Lonchura striata: one gene and its partner. The protein of the gene in region 1 binds, or shares a complex with, the protein of each later gene. Links are inferred from orthologs where the notes say so. Each region holds a gene or a part of one and is shown on either strand. Other genes may lie near its edges. The genes, in order: ZMYND8 and DBN1.

Region 1 (8,787 bases):
CATTCCTGAAGAGACAAAAAGTCAGATCTACAGTGTCATTAGGACATGAAGAAAACCTAGTTAATACCACGAATGTGATGAAAAGCAGGATGCAGTGCTTGATCATGTAGTTTCACAGAAACTTCTCATGGTGGTCGTGATTGTTTCAATCACCTGGAGCTGCTCAGTGCTCCCAGCCCTGCCTTGACAACAGTTACTGCAGCAGTGCTCTGAACTGGTGTGAACTGGAGCCTTCCCTGGCTGAAGTCCACACAATTAATCTTTGATTCACAGTGTCACAGTACAGACAGTTCTGCTCAAAGTGCAGCTAAGTGCTGTGGCTGGAAGGAAGGGTGAGAAGCCAGTAAGTCTGACTGAAAAAGAAAAGAAACTTGTGGTGGAAAAAGAAAGGACTTTTTGCTGGTGAGAGGTAAACCACAAAACTGAGATGAAATAGCAATTGGAATAGCACATAGAGAGGAGAAAGGTGTGAATATGCAGAGCCTTGAAGCTGAAGCCAAACTGTGAATTTAGTGTGTGGAGGAACATGAAGGAGGTTAAAAGTGAAAGTGATGCAGTCTGAATCTGCAGTGGGTTGTGCAGGAAAAGTTAATGTAATTACTTTATCTTTGTAATTCCGTCACTTGACATGTTTGGTATGAGCTTTAGTTTCTGGGACATTATCAGATTTAATTTTAAAACCCCAAAAGAAAACAACAGTAATAACAAACCAAAACATGAAAGAAGTCATGTCATCTGATTCCTGAATGTGAAACAATCAAGAAAGAAATCCTGGTAATAGGATTGGAGTTCAGCATTATGTGGTCCTGAATAATTCCTCCCAAATAGCAGTGACTTCCTTTTGTTTCCTTTAGAAGTGCACTATGCCAGAGTAAGTGATATATACAAGATGTCTCACACTTGGCCATTAGAACCACTTGGTGAAGTACAAACTTCTTTCAAGATTCTGTACTTAGGCCTCATACAGGGTATTTACATTTATTTCCATGGCCACAGAGCAGGGCTGATAAATCCACTTGTTCACCTGCACCGTGGGCGTGCACCATGCCTGCATGTGTCTCACAGCTGCTTTCTGGGCAACTAGAAAAGGATTTGCCTGCATATAAAATATGAAAGCAATTGTATCTGTTAGGCCTTCAGTACAGAACATAAAGTTTAAATACATAATAATGAAAATTCAATTTTATACAGAATATCCAACAGCCCAGCTGTTTAATTGTGGAGAGACTGGTCCAAAGTGGGGGTGAAAGCAATGAAATGGGCTTATGCCTTAAGTACTTATTTTAAAAAGCTACAGCTGTTAAAGGGCTCAAAGATGCTTTTCTTTTTTTTTTTTCTCTCCAGCTATTTTTGGCAGATGATTGAACATGAGTGGAGATTTCCTTTGGAAAGAAATGTACATGAAGCAATTGCACAGCACGCTAAAAATGCCTGTCAAGAGACACTTTGATAATGCACCAGATATTCAGTTGTGTGTTACAAACTGAACCAGGTTTTAACCTGCAGACAATGAGTGACCATTTCAATCCAGAACAAACAGTGTCAATCCAAAGTACTGAAAGCTGCTCTTCAGAAGGACCAATGCATGCAAAGCCTACTAAGCTCATGGGCAAACCAGGGACCTGCTGTGCATAGATACCTTCTCCTGTAGTTTCTAATAATTTATGAAACTACCAACCTTCTTTGACAGGTCACTAATTTTAGAAGTCAGTCTAGTTTTAAAAATTGAGGAACTGTTTTTATAGACATTTATTGCTGGATTCTGTACTGGACAGTGGTCTACTGGTCTTTGAGCAATTACTGATACTTTATCTATATTCATGATAAAGGAGACAAACTTCGAAGAGTTTTTTCCCAAGACAATGAGTGACAGTGTTTTATGTTCTGACTCTAGAAATCAGCATTATCAGCCAAAGACCTGGAAATCCCAGATCAAGCTACAAACCCTTAATGCATTTTCTTTCACTTGTTTTTATCTATTTGTTTATTATACTTGAAAAATATGACATTTCCCCTTTTGTGTATCTGTTAAAATGCTCCATCTTTTGTCCATCACTTAATGTTCCATCTCTGTCAATGATGATGCAGCCACTGTAGGGAGGGGTAAATATCAACCCCTGCTTCTGTCATACAGGCAGGCATTTTTCTTACTGGTATTTGTTTAATTTGGAGGCTCTGGTATATATTAGGTAGTATAGTTCCTTATAACTCTCTGATGCCTGGTGTGTGTGCTTGGTGTGGAGATGGGCACAGTGGGCAGAGTTCTTTGCAAAGACCTGTATAATGGGCTGCACTTTTAACATTACTGTCTTTTAATTTCCTTTTGAGAATTTGCTTTCCATCTTCCCTTTGGTTTCTCTGTTTAGCCTTTTTTTCCCCTCCCTGCCTCACAGCCCTGTTTTCCCTTAATATCTCTGAAGAATTGAAAAGGATAAATACAAGCTAATCTGCTCTCTGCCCTCTTTTCTGCTTTAACAAAGCTTTTAGCTTCCCCTTGCATGCTCTTCTTTTATTTGTTTTGTTTTCTTTACCATTTCTTCCCTCCCACCAAGAAAAAAAAATCACTACTCCAATGTAAAATAAATGCTCAAGCTGTAGCAGGACGCACAATCATGGTGACTTAAGACAAAAATCTGTATTTTCCAGATGTACCCGTGCATTATACCAGGCTTGTACCTCCTGCTGCAAAATAAGCATGTGGACAAGAGAATAAAGAGAAATATATTTCAAGCTTCCCCTTTGATTCCTGACAGAATTCTTTTGTCTTTTTGAGCAGAGTAGCTGAGTGGCTGAATATACATACTATATCTGTCTGATGTGCTTTCTATGGTTTTGTTCCTGCTAATAACTGCAGGTTTATAAATTTTTCTTTTGCATTTTTGCTTCCTTGAATCAAGAGGAGAGGGGCCTTAGGCCTTTCCTAAGGCTGCTGTTGCCTCTCTCTCCACTGTGTGCTCATTCTGTCTGATAGGCCCAAGTGTGTCAGCTTGGCAGCGTTCCCAGGCACCATCAGCATTACAACATTCCCCGAGTCGGGTCTGGGTTAGCACAAAGCATTGACAAATTCTGTGTATTTACTTTTGTTCCCATGCTGTTCTTCATAGGGATTAGGATTTTTTTTTTTTTAAGAGAATAATATTAGAGTAGAACAGTCACACAATGAGCATAAATGTTAACGGCTGACAATCCTCACATTTACTGCTTAGAGGAATCAAAATTTGGATGTTTGTGTGCCAGGGGTGATATCTCTGAGCAACACAGGTCTTTAGGTGTTCAATTAAAAAGAAATCTATCTTGAATGATTTTCACTATTGAAACTGATGCAAGTATTCACTGAATGTCATGAATTTCCAGTGTGTTTCTGCTGCTGTAGTGGGCTGTGATTCGCTTTATAGCAGCACTCTCCCCAGCTTCTGCTTCATTCCTAAAACAGAACAAACGGTCAGTGTATCCGTGAGCCTTCCTGCTCCCTGCCCTGAAAAACATTGCAACATCTAAAAAGAGAAAATGCTTCCAGCAGGGACTCCAGCATTCCTTCTGATTTGATAATTTATACTCTGGGCTGTTAATCTGCTGTTGCAGGGTGAAATGCAGAGACAGAAGTGTAAGCACAGGATGGGCTGCTGTGGCAGTTCCCTGTGACAAGGCTACCTCAAGGAATAATCTGAATGCAGAATGGGACAATGCAGAGCAGGATGACTAATTTTACTGAGTGGCACAGTTATGAGTCACGTCAGCTCTCAGGCAGTGAGGTTTGTGTGGTAAAGTAGTTATATCGTGAGAGGTGCTGTATGGAGGTAAGGGAGGGCACTAGGTTTTGTTGTGGTGATTGTTTCTGGGATTATTAGCACTCGACTAAACGTGACATGCATATTCTGTTTGCAACTCTTGTAGGTTTATGGAAGAGGGCTTTTTATAGATGGTTTTGCACAGTCTGAGATCCTGCATGTTGTACTGGAAGAACGTTTATTTTTCTTTGATTGTTCTATCTCATTATATAATAATTATTGTTTCAATGTTAAGCGTCTCCCTCTACACCGTCCCTTGTTTTTTTTTTCTTGCTTTTGTTTAATAAATAATTATTTTATATTCAATGTGCTTCAGATTCACCCTTTCATCTGCAATTTCCATTGCAATCTTCATGGCTACAGAATGATAATATAACACAGATACAAAATTTTGAACAATAATGCAAAGGCATGGTGGAGGCTTTCTAAAAATTTAACCTTTAAGATCTTCATCTGGAGTTAAGACTTCCTTCTTGGCAAAACGATAATTTCTCCCACTTTCACTGCATTAGGGAAAAGAATGGAATCACATTTTTTAATCAAAAGCTTGGGAATTGGCCCAAGATCAAACCGGTTGCTTACACGCCGCTTTCTCATTTTGTTTCATTTGCAGCATTTTCGCAGGAGATAAAAAGGTAAAGCAAAAATATCTGAAAAATGATGTGGATGTTTTCGTGGGGGCAGACTGATAACTTGCCTCGTAGAGAAATCTGTGTTTTCAGGGCCTGTGTTGCATCTCAAAAAGCACCAAGTCCTAGAGGGTTAACGGACAGGAAGCTGCAGTTACAGCCGCTCCTAAGGAAGTCAGTTTTTGTCTAACAGCCCAGGCAGGCCGAAAGGTAGGGGCTGGGGGGGATTCCAGATCTCAGGGTCTAGGATGACATGGATATTTTTAGTTTTGCCCTGCAGCATTTTAAACACGGGGAGGGCCTGCACCAAGTGGTAGCAAGGCTCCGTGATAAAGCAATTTCAATTCTGGAGTGCTTTTTGGGAAAAGGAGACATGAGTGTTCCTGCTTAAGGCTCCTTTTTCCCTCTTAAGACTCAGCATACCACGAAATCACACTGTAGGTACATGGTTGCTGTGCTGCATGTTCATGTATTTAAATTCTGGAGCAGGAGAACCCTTCTCGGAGTCCTGAGTTGTTCATTTCAGTCCCTTCTGTGCACGTGCACTTTCAGTAAGTTCTGCTCTCCGCCTGTGGCCTCGCTTGCTCGGCCAGCGCAGCCCCAGCAACGCCAATTGCGCTTTCCGTGCGAACAAAAGAACAGCTCTGGCGACCTGGGCGAACTCTGCGTCCTTCGGGTTCAGAACAGCCAGCTGCCTTCATGAGGCGGCAGGCTGGGGCACACGGGCCGGGCAGGCGGTGCGCGGGGAGCCGCGGGCGGGCCCGGGCCGGGCCGGGCGGGCGGCGGCAGCCGGGCCTAGCGCGCCGGCCTGCTCCGAGCCCGGGATGGCTCCTGCTCCCGGAGCCGCACAAAGATAATCGCTCAGGAAGTGTCTCAGCCAATCCCCTGGCGCTTTACATGCGGATTTGCCGGGGCAGCCAATCCGGGGGCGGCTTTCATGGGGAAGACAGATCATCAAGCCCAAGTGCCAAGCCCTCCCTGCCCGAGTACTGAGAGCCTGTCCTCCATGTTTTATAAGTATTGACATAACACTGTGTTAACAATGCATCCACAGAGGTAAGCCTTGCTTTTTACATTGCTTTTTCTCTAAGACCTATGAGTTGTGGGTTGAGAGTGTGATTCTCTGTGATTTCTCGTGCAAAACTCACACCACAGCACTTATATTAAGTTGGAACTGTTTAAATTTGCTTTCTTGGGTCACATGGTTAGTAGCCATTAGCCACAGCTTTATTTTACAGTCTGGCAAAGCCTTGGCATGCCTACTTCTTCACAGGAGGATGGTGTTTTTAGAGTTTATCAAGATCCTGGTATTCCAAAGGAGGTTTCTGTCTCTGAGCAGTTTGCCAGCACTATTGTCTGTTGTGTCACATGCCTGCTGGAGAGAAAATGGAAGCTAGGGAGCAGATGCATTTAACTGCCCTACAGGGAGTCAAGCAGGGATAATGGCAGACAGAGGAACAGGCAAGTTTACCTTTCTAAACAGTGAATGGAACAGCTAAGATAAGTTATCTCTGAGAAAATATGGGATTTTTAAAAACCTAGGCATCAGCAAAAAGTGCTAATGGCAGATTGTAGATATTGGGCCTAGGTGGTGGTGTGCTGTTGCATCATGTTTTTTATGCAGCTTATCTTAACTTAAAATGATTATTGAACCTTTTTTCTTGCAGGAGTAATTAATACAATGCTTTTCTCTTTCTGAGGGACAATGTATGGTTAATATTTTGTTCCTTTAAAAGGGAGTTTTTATGCTGCAGATTTTGGAAATGGAGTGCTGCTCAGTAAAACGCAGCAGTGCATCTGTTTACAAATCTGATGCTTTATGGAAAATGTTTTTGAACTGTTAGCTTCCTTGCTTTGCATAGTTCAAATAAACTAATGCAACTTTTATCTGTGCCTTTTTGTTTTACATTGTACCAGCCACAGTTCTGTGTTGTGGAGTCCAGAAGATATAAAATCATGTGTGGTTCATGACAGTAGTACATGTTGTTCGTTCTTGGGTTTTTTTTTCCCTTTTAATTTTTTTTACTTTTGGTTAATTGCTACGTAATTATTTCAAGAAATTCCTTTTTGATCAATTCCAAAATCTGCCAGCCTGTTGTATCTCCTTAACTGGAAAAATGAGATGGGTGCTTGAACAGTTGGTAAGTAAGCAGCATGCTACTCTCTGAACATTTTTAATAGTTTTCCAAACATTTTGTTTTTACTGGGTCAGTCAGTGAAGTAGATGAAGTGATGTTGGTGGTTAGTCATATAAAAGATCAGATTTGTTTAGCGTCCATTTTAAGGGACTTGTACATGTAAACTGCTGTATTTGAATGCACTGTTTTTCTGATAATTTGTCTCTAAATTTTGAAGCTTTTACTTCCTGTTTACCTTAGGCCAGTGAAAAATATTCTACTTGCTGTTCGTTCCTAGATCATTAATTGCCATGTTTGCAGGGCAAAGCGCGTTTTCACCGTTCCTTGGGCTTTTCGGGTGTGATGAAAGTGCTGGTGCTCAGCAATGAAGTGACCTTAGGAAGTAAAGTAAATAACACTTAATGAGCATATGTTTCTGATACTATACAAAGTATAACCTCAGACAAGCTTGCTTGGTTTATAACTAATTTAGAAACATTTTGTGCTCTTTATAAAGATTTTAATTGTAGCGCCTGCATGCTTGTTTGAACAAGCTGTTTTTCAGTGATCACTAGGGCTGTTACAAAAGCAGAGAAGGGATGCTCTTTTGTGTTTTTAATGTAATTTTTGCACTTGTTTTAACAGTCCATACACATTTATTATTTTCGGAAAGAACTGAAAGCTAGGCTGGCTTTGCAAATAAATAACTGTGCTGAGGCACAGGGCATGCAAACTTTTCTAGCCCCTTGCCATGTATTTGGTAACGTTCTTTAACAGCAATTTACCTCTGTTTGCTTGTTTACCAGTGTGAGTATCTTACTTTGAATATCTCACTTTGGCTAAAAGCTTTCCTATCCTATCCCCCTCTCCATGTTTCCCCCTCCTCCCTTCCCCCCCCCTGCCCCCCCCAGTCCCCTAGGATTAGATTATAAGAATGTCTAGTTCAATTTAAAACCTGAAATACTGCTGGGGTACCACTGAATTTCATGTGATAGTATTTCTGTATGCAATTTTAATGCATCTTTCAGTATACGTGAAAGTGCTGACACAGCTAAGAAGTTATTCTGGTTTTTGCTCTTCAGTTGCTAAAAAACAGAAATTACATTTGGACACAATTTTCCTAGTAGTAGTTTATACATGCTAGCTGTTTACTTTCAGCCTTTAAGAATGGGCAACATAATATTTGTTTAATGTGAGGAAGCAGGGGTAAGTGATCTGCAATCAGAAAGCTTGTATTAAAATGGCTCCCACAGGTTTTGTTAAACCAGGATCTGTTTCAAATCTGCACCTCCAGACACGCTGCTGACAGTGAAGCGCATTTGTGTGAGCTGCCCTCGTGCATGTAATGAAACGGAGCATCGTGAGTCTGTTAAAGTTCACTATTTTCAATCACTCGGGTGTAATTCTTTTATAGTTCACAAAAAACAAATGTCTGCATTGCAGCAAGATGTCTGAGGCAAGGTAGAGACAGCAGCGCTGTGCCTCGGCTCAGCCCAATGGCACTGCTCCGCCAGCGCCGGAGCCAATTGCTGCAGCAGGCAGGTTAAAGATTGACAATTGCAGTGGCAAGGCTGAGAAAGGCCTTCTGGAAATTTCTGCCATCTTTGTTCCATCTAAGCAAAGCAAATTCAGACAAGCTGAAGGATTTCAGATGTGTATATTTTTTGGTGCTTTGTCAAGGTACAGTGTTATCACTCACTTCCCTAGGTTGTGTAATAAGCTGTTTTTTCTATTCAGGACAGATGGAATGTGGGTTTTTGTTTTAAGTGACAGATGCAGGGAAAAAGCACGTATTGCTTTCTCCCCAAGATTTTACTGGCCTGGATCTTGTTACAATCACAATTAGACAGGACATGTATGAAGCAATGCAGCTGAGGTTTATTCAGCTTGGAGCAAATGGCCATTATTCTGATTATAACTAGCAGTTAATCGTATAATTACACTGTAAGTTTTCTGGCTACTAGAGAGCAGTTTGAATTGCCCAGGATGAATATGATTAGGCATTATTATTTAGTGCCAACATCCAGTTACTTTTGTAATTAACTGGACAAAGAATGGAGTGGGGGGAAAACAAAGGAGTGATCTGGATTATAAATCATGGTGAAAACAGTAGCCTTTTAAAAGCTACATGCCTTTTTCATTCTTTGCAGGCAAACTGTTTTACTTGGAAGCTAAATAGTGCTAGGGAAAAGCTGAGCAATTTCTTTAAACAAATGACACTACTTAACATATTGGAAATGAAAAAAATGCAGA
Region 2 (8,323 bases), on another chromosome or scaffold:
TTCCCGCCTTGGTCCATCTCAGGGGATTCCTTGACCCTTCCTGCCCTTGGTGCTCCTGCCCCTGGCTGACAGTGGCTCCCCTCCAGGAGGTGATGCACGCACTGAAGATGACCTGGCACGTGCAGTGCTTCACCTGCAACGCCTGCAAAACTCCCATCCGCAACCGAGCCTTCTACATGGAGGAGGGACAGCCCTACTGCGAGAGAGGTAGGACCCAGGGGCCCCATGTGTCACCTCATGTGGCCCTGGGGCGCATTGGGACTCAGCAGCTGCACACAGGGCTGGGGGTATGAGCTGCCCTGCTCTGCAGGGCTCCCCCTGGGCTGCGGGGAGCACAGAGACCCCAATCCCACAGCCCTGAGCCCTCCACCTGGTTCTCCCTAGCTGCAGGGTAGTGCCATAGCTCCTATGTTGCCATGGCGATGAGGGAGGATGTACATCAAAGCGAGTGCTGCATCCTGGGAGATGAGGTTCTCCTCCTCCCCCTGGAGCTCTGTGTTGGCTATGCCACCCTACACCTTTCCCGGGTGTCCCAGGCTTTTTCTCACCTGAATGGGGGCTGGCAGAGTTGTCCCCAGGCTGTGCCTGTGGGATCCTGGCTGAGCTGCAGCCCTGCTCCCCTGGCATGAGCGGCTGTAGTGCATGGAAATGCTGACCTGGCTCTGCCTTTCCTCACAGACTATGAGAAGATGTTTGGCACCAAGTGCCGCGGCTGTGACTTCAAGATCGATGCTGGGGACCGGTTCCTGGAGGCGCTGGGGTTCAGCTGGCATGACACTTGCTTTGTCTGTGCGGTGAGCAGTGTGCCTCCCTCCCCGACTGTTGCAGGGCCTGTGCCTCTCCCCGACAGTCCTGCTCTGGGTGGGGTACACCAGCAGCACAGGGAACCTGCTGCCACAAGATTTGTCCCACTTGCCTCCGTTCCGGACGCCTGGGGCTCTGCTCTGAGCCTTCTGTTCCCTCGCAGTGCCCCAGGGCCATGTGGAGGTCCCTGTGTAACACCAGTGCTGGGCTGTGGGGGACCAGAGGCTGACTCAGCCCCCCGACCTGACCACCTGTACTTTCCTCCCCAGATCTGCCAGACCAACCTGGAAGGGAAGACGTTCTACTCCAAGAAGGACAAGCCTCTGTGCAAGAGCCATGCTTTCTCCCATGTGTGAGGGGTGGGAATTCAGCTGTGCCTACACATGCCCCTGGCCCTGCATGCTCCTCTTCCCCTGCCCTGCTGGCCCCAGGGAGCCAGACTGGGCCCTTGGCCCTTTCCCTTGCTTCTGCCTCTTTCCTGGCAGCTCCTGGCTCGACTTCAGCCAGATACAGTGCTGGGTCCAGAGCCTTTTATAGCTGGGTGGCTTCTTACATGCTTCTCAACTGGCCCTAGGAGCCCTGGAAAGGGGATGCTGCATGGATCTCCTGCCCCTGAGCCACGCAGCATGGTGGGTACAACCATGCTGAGGCTGGAATTGGAGGGGGTCTGCCACGGCTGGCCTGCTCCCTTGCTGCCTGGCAGCTCAGTGCTGGGGCAGGGATACTCCTTACACATCCCTGAGTGGGTGAGGACCAGCTCTTGTCTCACTCTCCCCAACCTTCCCTGCTGTGTGCTTGGGGCTGGAGACCCGGCCCTGCTCCCCTGCTGGGGCCCTGCCCATGACAACCCACCAGCCACCCTCAAACTGCAGTGGCTTCCTGCCCCAGTTGCATTCCAGGGGTGTCTGTGCCTCATGCCTCCCACCCTGCTGCCCCCCTGCTCCCCTGGGGCTGGCAACACCCCCAGCCTGGCATGGCCCAGCCGTGGGCTGGCAGCGTGTAATGATGGCCAGCCCAGTCAGGCTGCTGCTCCCGCAAGGCTTGGGCACAGCTTCCTACCAAAGAGATCTCTGCCACTGCCATCCTGGGGCCACCGATGCCTCCCCCCAAACCACACCCTCTGGTCGGGCTGCGCTGATGTAGCCACGGTGCTTTTAGTGCCTTTAATAAACACATCTCTGCAAGTGCCGGCTGTCTCCAGGCCAGTGGTTTTGCCGAGTGAGGTGTGGCCGGCTGGGAAGGTCATGCTCTGCCCTCATCCCGCTCCCTCTGGGGCCTGACTCAGCTCCTTCCAGCTTTCCAGGGAAACTCTTCGCCTCAGATTTCTCCACCTCTGCCCAGGCTTGACCTTTTGTGTCGGCTGGGTCGTCCCTCTTGTAGCAGGCAGGACCGCTAATGGGGGCAGTAATTAATCTGGGGGGCAAAATGCAGCAAGGAGAGATGGGGAAGGGGTGAGACCTTAGTGGAGGTCCTTGTATACCTGGCAGCGTCCTGAGTACTGTAGAGGGGTTGAGGAGTCGTGGGGCACGCGTGGGCCACGTGCACCAGCTCTGGGCGTTCTCCAGCGTGGAGCGGCCAAGCGTTCGCTCACACGCTGCAGCTGCCGTCCCGAAGGACGGCTGAGGCCACACCAGCACCTCCGGCTGGAACGGGCTCGAGGGCAGCGCGTGTGGGTGTTCTCCTCCCTCTCCACTCTGACAGCTGGAACGGTCATTAATAATTGCAGCTCTTGCCATGATGAGCAATTGTAAGGAAAATCGTCTTGCTCATCTACTGGAAGGTTCTGCCTGGGGCAGGAGCTGGCTGTGGGAAGCCAAATACCTCCTGGCATCACCCAGATCTGGGCTGCGGTGCCACATCTTCTCACTGCCAGTTCCAGGAGTGCAAAAGCACATCAAAGATGGGGCAAGGAAAGGTGAGGGATGAAGTCAAGCTGGGGCTGGGCCAGGCAGTCGGGCTGGGGCACGTGAGAGCAGTGGGATGGTCACACTGAGAAGCAGCAGGACATGGCACAGAAGCAGCTGGTGCCTGCCTGGCAGGGCTGGCAGGAGCAGGGCTGAGTGCCCACGTGTGAGTCCCAGCTGTGCAGCCAAGGTCAGAGGAAGCACAGGGGAAGGTGAGGTGGCTGTGGCCCCACATGGGCAGGCCCTGAACCAACCCTGGGTTGGCTGGACAGCAACCCGTGAGTGGAGGGTAGGAAAGGGGCAGGGGCAGGCAGTGGTGCGGGACGGAGCCTGCTGGGCTAGCACAGGCTGGGAACAGGTTCTGCCAGATCAGCCCCGGGGTGCCCAGCTGTGCAGCAGGGCCAGGGTGCTACAGTCAACCTGCCTCTTCCCTGGGGAGAGCCAAGCATCCCCTGGTGCCACTGCAAGGTCTGTGCTCGCGGGGGGCTTAGCTCTGCTTGGTTCCCTGTTGCCTCTGGGCCCTCCTGATGACTCCTCTACCACCCAAGGTGCCTCTGCGCTTTGCCAAGGGCATCTCTTGCCCACCAGCTCTGCGCACCATGTGAGGACCTTGTGCACAGGCAGCGGAAGGAGGGTCTCGGGTGGGCTGCGGAGGTGGAGCCTGGGGAGGGGCTGCAGCCTCGCTGCTCGGAGAACAAAGCCTGGCGGCGGTAGGCTCGGAGCTCCCACCACATCCCTGAGCGGGGTCTCACCACATCCACCCCCAAAGCCATCTGAGCCGCTTGTGGGGCGCCTGCCCCGGCCCCAGCCCCCGCGCTGGCCCCGGCAGCTGCTCCACAGCTGCTCCCAAACTCTCACAGCCTCTTAGGGCGGCTCCGGCTCTGGCCTCGCTCGGAAATGCTGGTGTGAGGAGGGCGTGGGGGGAGCGGGCGGCAGCGCCAGGACCCTCGGCACCCTGTCCCATGTCCCTCATCTCCCATGTCCCCGTGTCCCACGGGCTGCCTGAAGGGATTCTTTTGTGACGGGCCACTCCACCAACATCCCCATCCCGCAGGAATCGGGCCCTGCGTGCTCTCCATTGCTGCTCTGGCACAGAGACCCCTCCAGCGCGGTGCTGGTCCAGGCTGGGGGCAGCGCCGGGGACAGGGAATCGCTGGCAGGAGCATTAGGACCTGGCTGAGAGCCCCTTCAGAGCCCTTCGAGGGTCAGTGCAAAACCAGCTGTGGGGTCGCACAGAGGCAAAACCTCCTGAAAAAGGTGATTGAAGGGTTCTGAAAGGACCGGTGGCTTGGCAGTGGTGGGGGTAGAGGAGCAGATGGGCAGCAAAGACGCCCCCAGAAAGGCTGTGTCCAGTGACCCCTTGTGCGAGCAGTGAGGGCATGGCTGGGTGTTTAGGGCAAAGCCGACGGTGCCGTGTCCTTGGAGAGGAAACCTTGGACACGGGGGCTCGGCGTGGGGCAGCGGAGGGCACGGGAAGCCATGTGTGCCACATCCCTGGGTGTAGAGGATGTGGGGCAGGGGAGAATATGGGAATGGAGAGGACCACCCAGCACGAGAGGTCTCCAGAGTGCAAGTTCCCAGGAGGGGCAGCGCAGGATGCGTCCCCAGGGCGGAGGAGAGCCCGGAATGCGAAATCACCCGGCGTGCAGGTTCCCAGGAGGAGCTGAGCCGGGGTTCAGTGTCCCTGGGGCTGGGGACGGCCCGGAGCGCGGTGTTGCGGGGGCAGAGCAGAGCCCAGGCTGCGGGATCCCGGGGGCGAGCTGCGTGCGGGGGCGGCCCGCGGCGGGGGTGATGCTGCCCGCACCCCCGGGGTCCCGGCTCGGGGCCGGGCGGCGCGGCCGGCGGGCTGCCCCGGGGGCGCCCCGGGGGCGCGGCGGGGGCGGGGGCCGGGCGGGGGGGCGGAGGGGAGGGGAGGGGGGCCGCCGTTCGCGGCGCTAGGACCGGGCGCGGCGGCGGGCGGAGCCTCCCCGCCGCTCGCCCCTCCGCCCGGCCGCTGCGGCAGTGTCTCGGAGGCGGGCAGGCGGCCGGTCCCTCCGGTCCCCCGGCAGCATCCCGGCCCCGCCATGGCTGGCGTCGGCTTCGCGGCGCACCGCCTGGAGCTGCTCGCCTCCTACCAGGACGTGATCGGCGAGGACAGCCCCACCGACTGGTGAGCGCGCCCGCCGCCGCCGCCGCCCCTTTGTCCCCGCCGCCGCCGCCGCCCTTTGTGCACGGAGCCGCCCGGTAACACCGGCCGCGCCCCGAGCTGCGCCCCCCGCCGTCCCCGCGAGCCCCGGCACACAAAGGCGGGCGGGGCGGCGGGGGGTGTGCCCGGCTCGCCGCCCCCGGTGCCCGCACCTGCCCGCCGCACCGGGCCGGGGCGCGGTCCCCGCTTTGTCTGCGCCGGGCCGGCACGTGCGGGCGCCGGGACCCGTCGGCCCCGGGAGTCCCGGCACGGCCCGGTCCGACCCCCAGCCGGGCAGCGAGAGCGGGGAGCGGGGGAATTCGCGCACGACGGGGAGGGCCCCGTGGGGCTCCCCGGTGCTGGGCCCGGCACCGGTTCCTCGCCATTGTCTGGAGCTGGAGCCGCGGGCAGGGGCGCCGGGGCAACGGGGGATGGGGAGGGGATCGGGGCGCCCGCAGCCCGGCCCCGCTCCCGACCGGTCCTGCTCCCGACCGGCTTCACCGGTATCCCGGCAGCGGGCGGCCCCGCTGCCCGGCGGAGAGAGGCCTGAAGCCGCGGGGACACCGAGCATCTCCCGCCGCTCCCGCTACCCTGAGATTCCCCCAAGCTCCGGGGCTGCCGCATCCCTGGGGGGTCGCGGTGTGTCGGCCCGGGGTTGCCCCGCCGGGCTGGGGTTGCTGTTGAGTCGGGGAGGGGAGTGGTTCTCTCCGCTGGGACCCCCGGCTTGTCGCGCTGCCCGCGCCCCGGTGCGGGGCACCGGTTGTCGAGGTCGGCTGGATCCGGGCCCGCTGCAGGGAGCATCACCCACTGCCAGCCCACCCGCATCTCCCAGCCCAGCCGGGTGCCGGGAGGCTGGCTGGGGCCATCTGCCCCGCCATCCCCTCCCTGCCCTCCAGGGTGCCTCTGGCAGGCTGGGTGGGAGCGCTGCCGGCGCGCTGGGGCGCATCTCGCTGGGCAGTGTGGAGTGCTGGGTGCATGCTGTGCATGATGCTTTTGGTGGGGGGCGGACGGAGGAGAGCTACTGTGCACCCACCATCCAGCCAGGGGCATCCACCACCCCTCCGGGATATACCCACCGCCCATCCGGGGACTCCCACCTCCCAGCTGGGCTGCACCCACAACCCAGCCGGTCAGACGTCTGTCTCTAAGCAGGTCCTTGCTCTCAGGACAGGGCTGGGTGGGCCTGGGCAGGTCCAGGTGCCCCCAGTCCCCGGGGGTCTCCGGAGGGCCCCACAGTCCCGCTGTCAGCCCAGGGGCGCTGCGGGCAAGCGCCGTGTGTGTCGCCGGCCAGGCGGCAGCTGTCAGCCCTGGGTACATCTCGCTTCCCGGCATCCGCTGCAAAGGAGCCGTCCCTGCCAAAGCTGCTGAGAGAAGCAGAATCGGTTCCCGGGAAGGCGAGGGGGCCGGTGGCGGCTCCCCCACAAACACCTCCAACGCTGATCCCGGCCAGGCAGTGATCCCCTGGCATCCCCATCCGTGGGGCTGACTTTGGTCCATCGTCCCCAGCTGCTCCAATGTCCCCAGCCACCCCATGCCATTGTCACCGGAGCTCCTGGCACTCAGTGCCTGTGGGAACATCATCCCCTCTGCAGGGCCCGCTGCGGGGGTGCTGGATGAGGGGCGATGCTGGTGGGGCTCCATCGGGCAAGGTGATGGGGACAGTCCACGGGGAGGAGGGCCCAGACTGGCTGAGCCAGGGAGCTGCCTGGGGGGACACTGTGCCAGAGCCTGGCCCTGGGCCGCCACCGCGGAATGCCACGCTCATGCCCGCCCGGGATCCCTCGGTTTAGTCTGGGATTTCCCCTGCTCCAGCCCGGTCCTGAAGGGTCCGAGCATCCCCTCCCCCTGCCCGGCCCCGCGAAGGCTGCTGGGGCCCATTACTCGATCGGAAAGGAATTTGGTGCTGCTTTCTGAGCACGCCGACTCCCTGGAGCTCCCAGCCACATTGGAAACACATGTGCCGGGGCTGGGGCGGGAGGCTGGGGCGATGTGACCCCTCCCTGGCCGTGGCATGGGGGGTGGGCTGCCGCGGGAGCCCCGTTCCGGCGCCCGGGGATGCTGCTCTGCCTGCTCCGGTGAGCAGCGGGGCCATGCGAGGGCAGCGGGGCTGCGGTGCCTTTGCCTGGGGTGATGAGGGATCCTCAGTGGAGGCCCCCGGCTGCGGGGAGCCCCCGCTCCGGGCTGCACAGGGCATCTCCACCCACGGGTGACCCACATACCTGGAGCCCGGGGGTGGGAAAGGGCTGTATGGGTTGGGTGGAGGGATTAAAGCCATGGAAGTGGGGTAAGTGATGCATGATGCTGACAGCACCCGCTGTGACACAGCTGGTCCCCACTGCCAGGGGTTGTGGTGGTGCTGTTGGGCTGTGGGGCCCTGGGGGCACCCCTGGGGATGCTACTGGCCCCAGCACGGCTTCTCTGTCTCCTGGAATGGAAACCTCCATCCTGGCATGGAGTCAGGCTGTGCTGCTGAGCTGTGTCCACAGCAAGCCCCATCTGCCCTGGGAGCACCCCCGGGTGCAGGCAGCAGCTTTGTGTCCAGAAACCACCCAGCATGGCAGGGTTCTGGGGAAGAAAAGCAGGCAGTGGGTGCCCCCAGCACCCACAGGGCTCCCCAGGCAGTGATGCTGTAGCTCTGCCCTACTTCTTTTCTCCTGTCTGCTGCCAGCTGCATCCCACCCTGCCAGCTTCCAGCTCGCCGCCCTGGGCTCCCCCAAACTGCTGCCATTCCTCCCCCATTCCTGGGGGGACCAGGGGCTGCATTTGCCACCCTTCCCTGTCACAGACGGCACTTTGCAGCTGTTCCAGGCCTGGAAGCTGGCGCCGGCTGGGGCGGCCGATTAGCGGGATCGGGATGTGCGGATTAAAGTCAATCTTGTTGGTGCAATTATCTGCGGCTCCCTGCCAGGGGCTCGGGGGGCGGCGGGTGCTGGAGGCAGAGGGAGGCCCTCTCCCTCTTAGGCACCTGCCTGCCTTCCCCTTGCTTTTTAGCTCCAGGCTCTGTTTTGGGGGTGGCTCTGCCCGTAGGGACCCTCGATTCCTGTTCCCCAGGCTGTGGATTGAAGCTGCAGGCTCGAGCCAGGACGGCTTTGCTGGGCACAGCGGGGATTTCGGGGCTCTGAGGAGCGCCGTGCGGGCACCACCAGCCGAATGCTGATCGGCAGAGCCGCCCACCCGCGGCGGAGCAGGGATGTGGGGGATCCAGCACGGGCGGCCCTGGCTTTCCGGGTGCAGCGCGTGACGGTGGCGGGCAGGTTTGGGTGCCTGCCAGGCCCCGCAGGTCCCCACTGCCTGCCTGCCTCCCCCGCTCCCCTCCACTAATCACCTCGTCATCGGGGCGAGCTGCATCCCAGCTGGGATGGGGGGGGTTGCCATGGTGATGGAGGATGCTGGTTGCCTAGCGACATCCATCCCCTCGCCCACCCGCCCTGGACCAATTTGGCATGCGTGG

Evidence for each region.
Region 2: the proteins of ZMYND8 (region 1) and DBN1 are in contact, whole or in part, in a crystal structure (PDB 5Y1Z), measured with the Homo sapiens proteins. The link is inferred for Lonchura striata from reciprocal best matches to the Homo sapiens genes ZMYND8 and DBN1. Residues at the interface, in NP_001350670.1 of Homo sapiens: Gln167, Pro168, Gly169, Thr170, Gln236, Ile237, Val240, Lys243, Ile244, His247, Trp269, Leu285, Gly287, Phe288, Phe307, Gly309, Gln310, His311, Asp312, Ala314, Thr335, Lys336, Ser337, Ile338; in NP_004386.3 of Homo sapiens: Met1, Ala2, Phe6, Ser7, Arg10, Leu11, Leu14, Tyr17, Glu18, Asp92, Ala93, Cys96, Ala97, Ala99, Ser100, Lys104, Glu107, Phe108, Gln110.

What each region holds. Positions count from the first base shown.
Region 1 is NC_134619.1:8,583,995-8,592,781, forward strand, and holds the start of ZMYND8 (MYND-type zinc finger-containing chromatin reader ZMYND8), read left to right. Parts: upstream 1-5,342; 5' UTR 5,343-5,459; coding exon 5,460-5,473; intron 5,474-5,607; exon of another isoform or gene 5,608-5,878; intron 5,879-6,032; exon of another isoform or gene 6,033-6,558; intron 6,559-8,787. UniProt on the Homo sapiens protein: Chromatin reader that recognizes dual histone modifications such as histone H3.1 dimethylated at 'Lys-36' and histone H4 acetylated at 'Lys-16' (H3.1K36me2-H4K16ac) and histone H3 methylated at 'Lys-4' and histone H4 acetylated at 'Lys-14' (H3K4me1-H3K14ac).
Region 2 is NC_134617.1:3,197,914-3,206,236, reverse strand, and holds the start of DBN1 (drebrin), read left to right. Parts: upstream 1-4,671; 5' UTR 4,672-4,771; coding exon 4,772-4,857; intron 4,858-8,323. Other genes in the region: PDLIM7 (PDZ and LIM domain protein 7), read left to right, coding at 87-207, 679-794, 1,074-1,160. UniProt on the Homo sapiens protein: Actin cytoskeleton-organizing protein that plays a role in the formation of cell projections. Required for actin polymerization at immunological synapses (IS) and for the recruitment of the chemokine receptor CXCR4 to IS.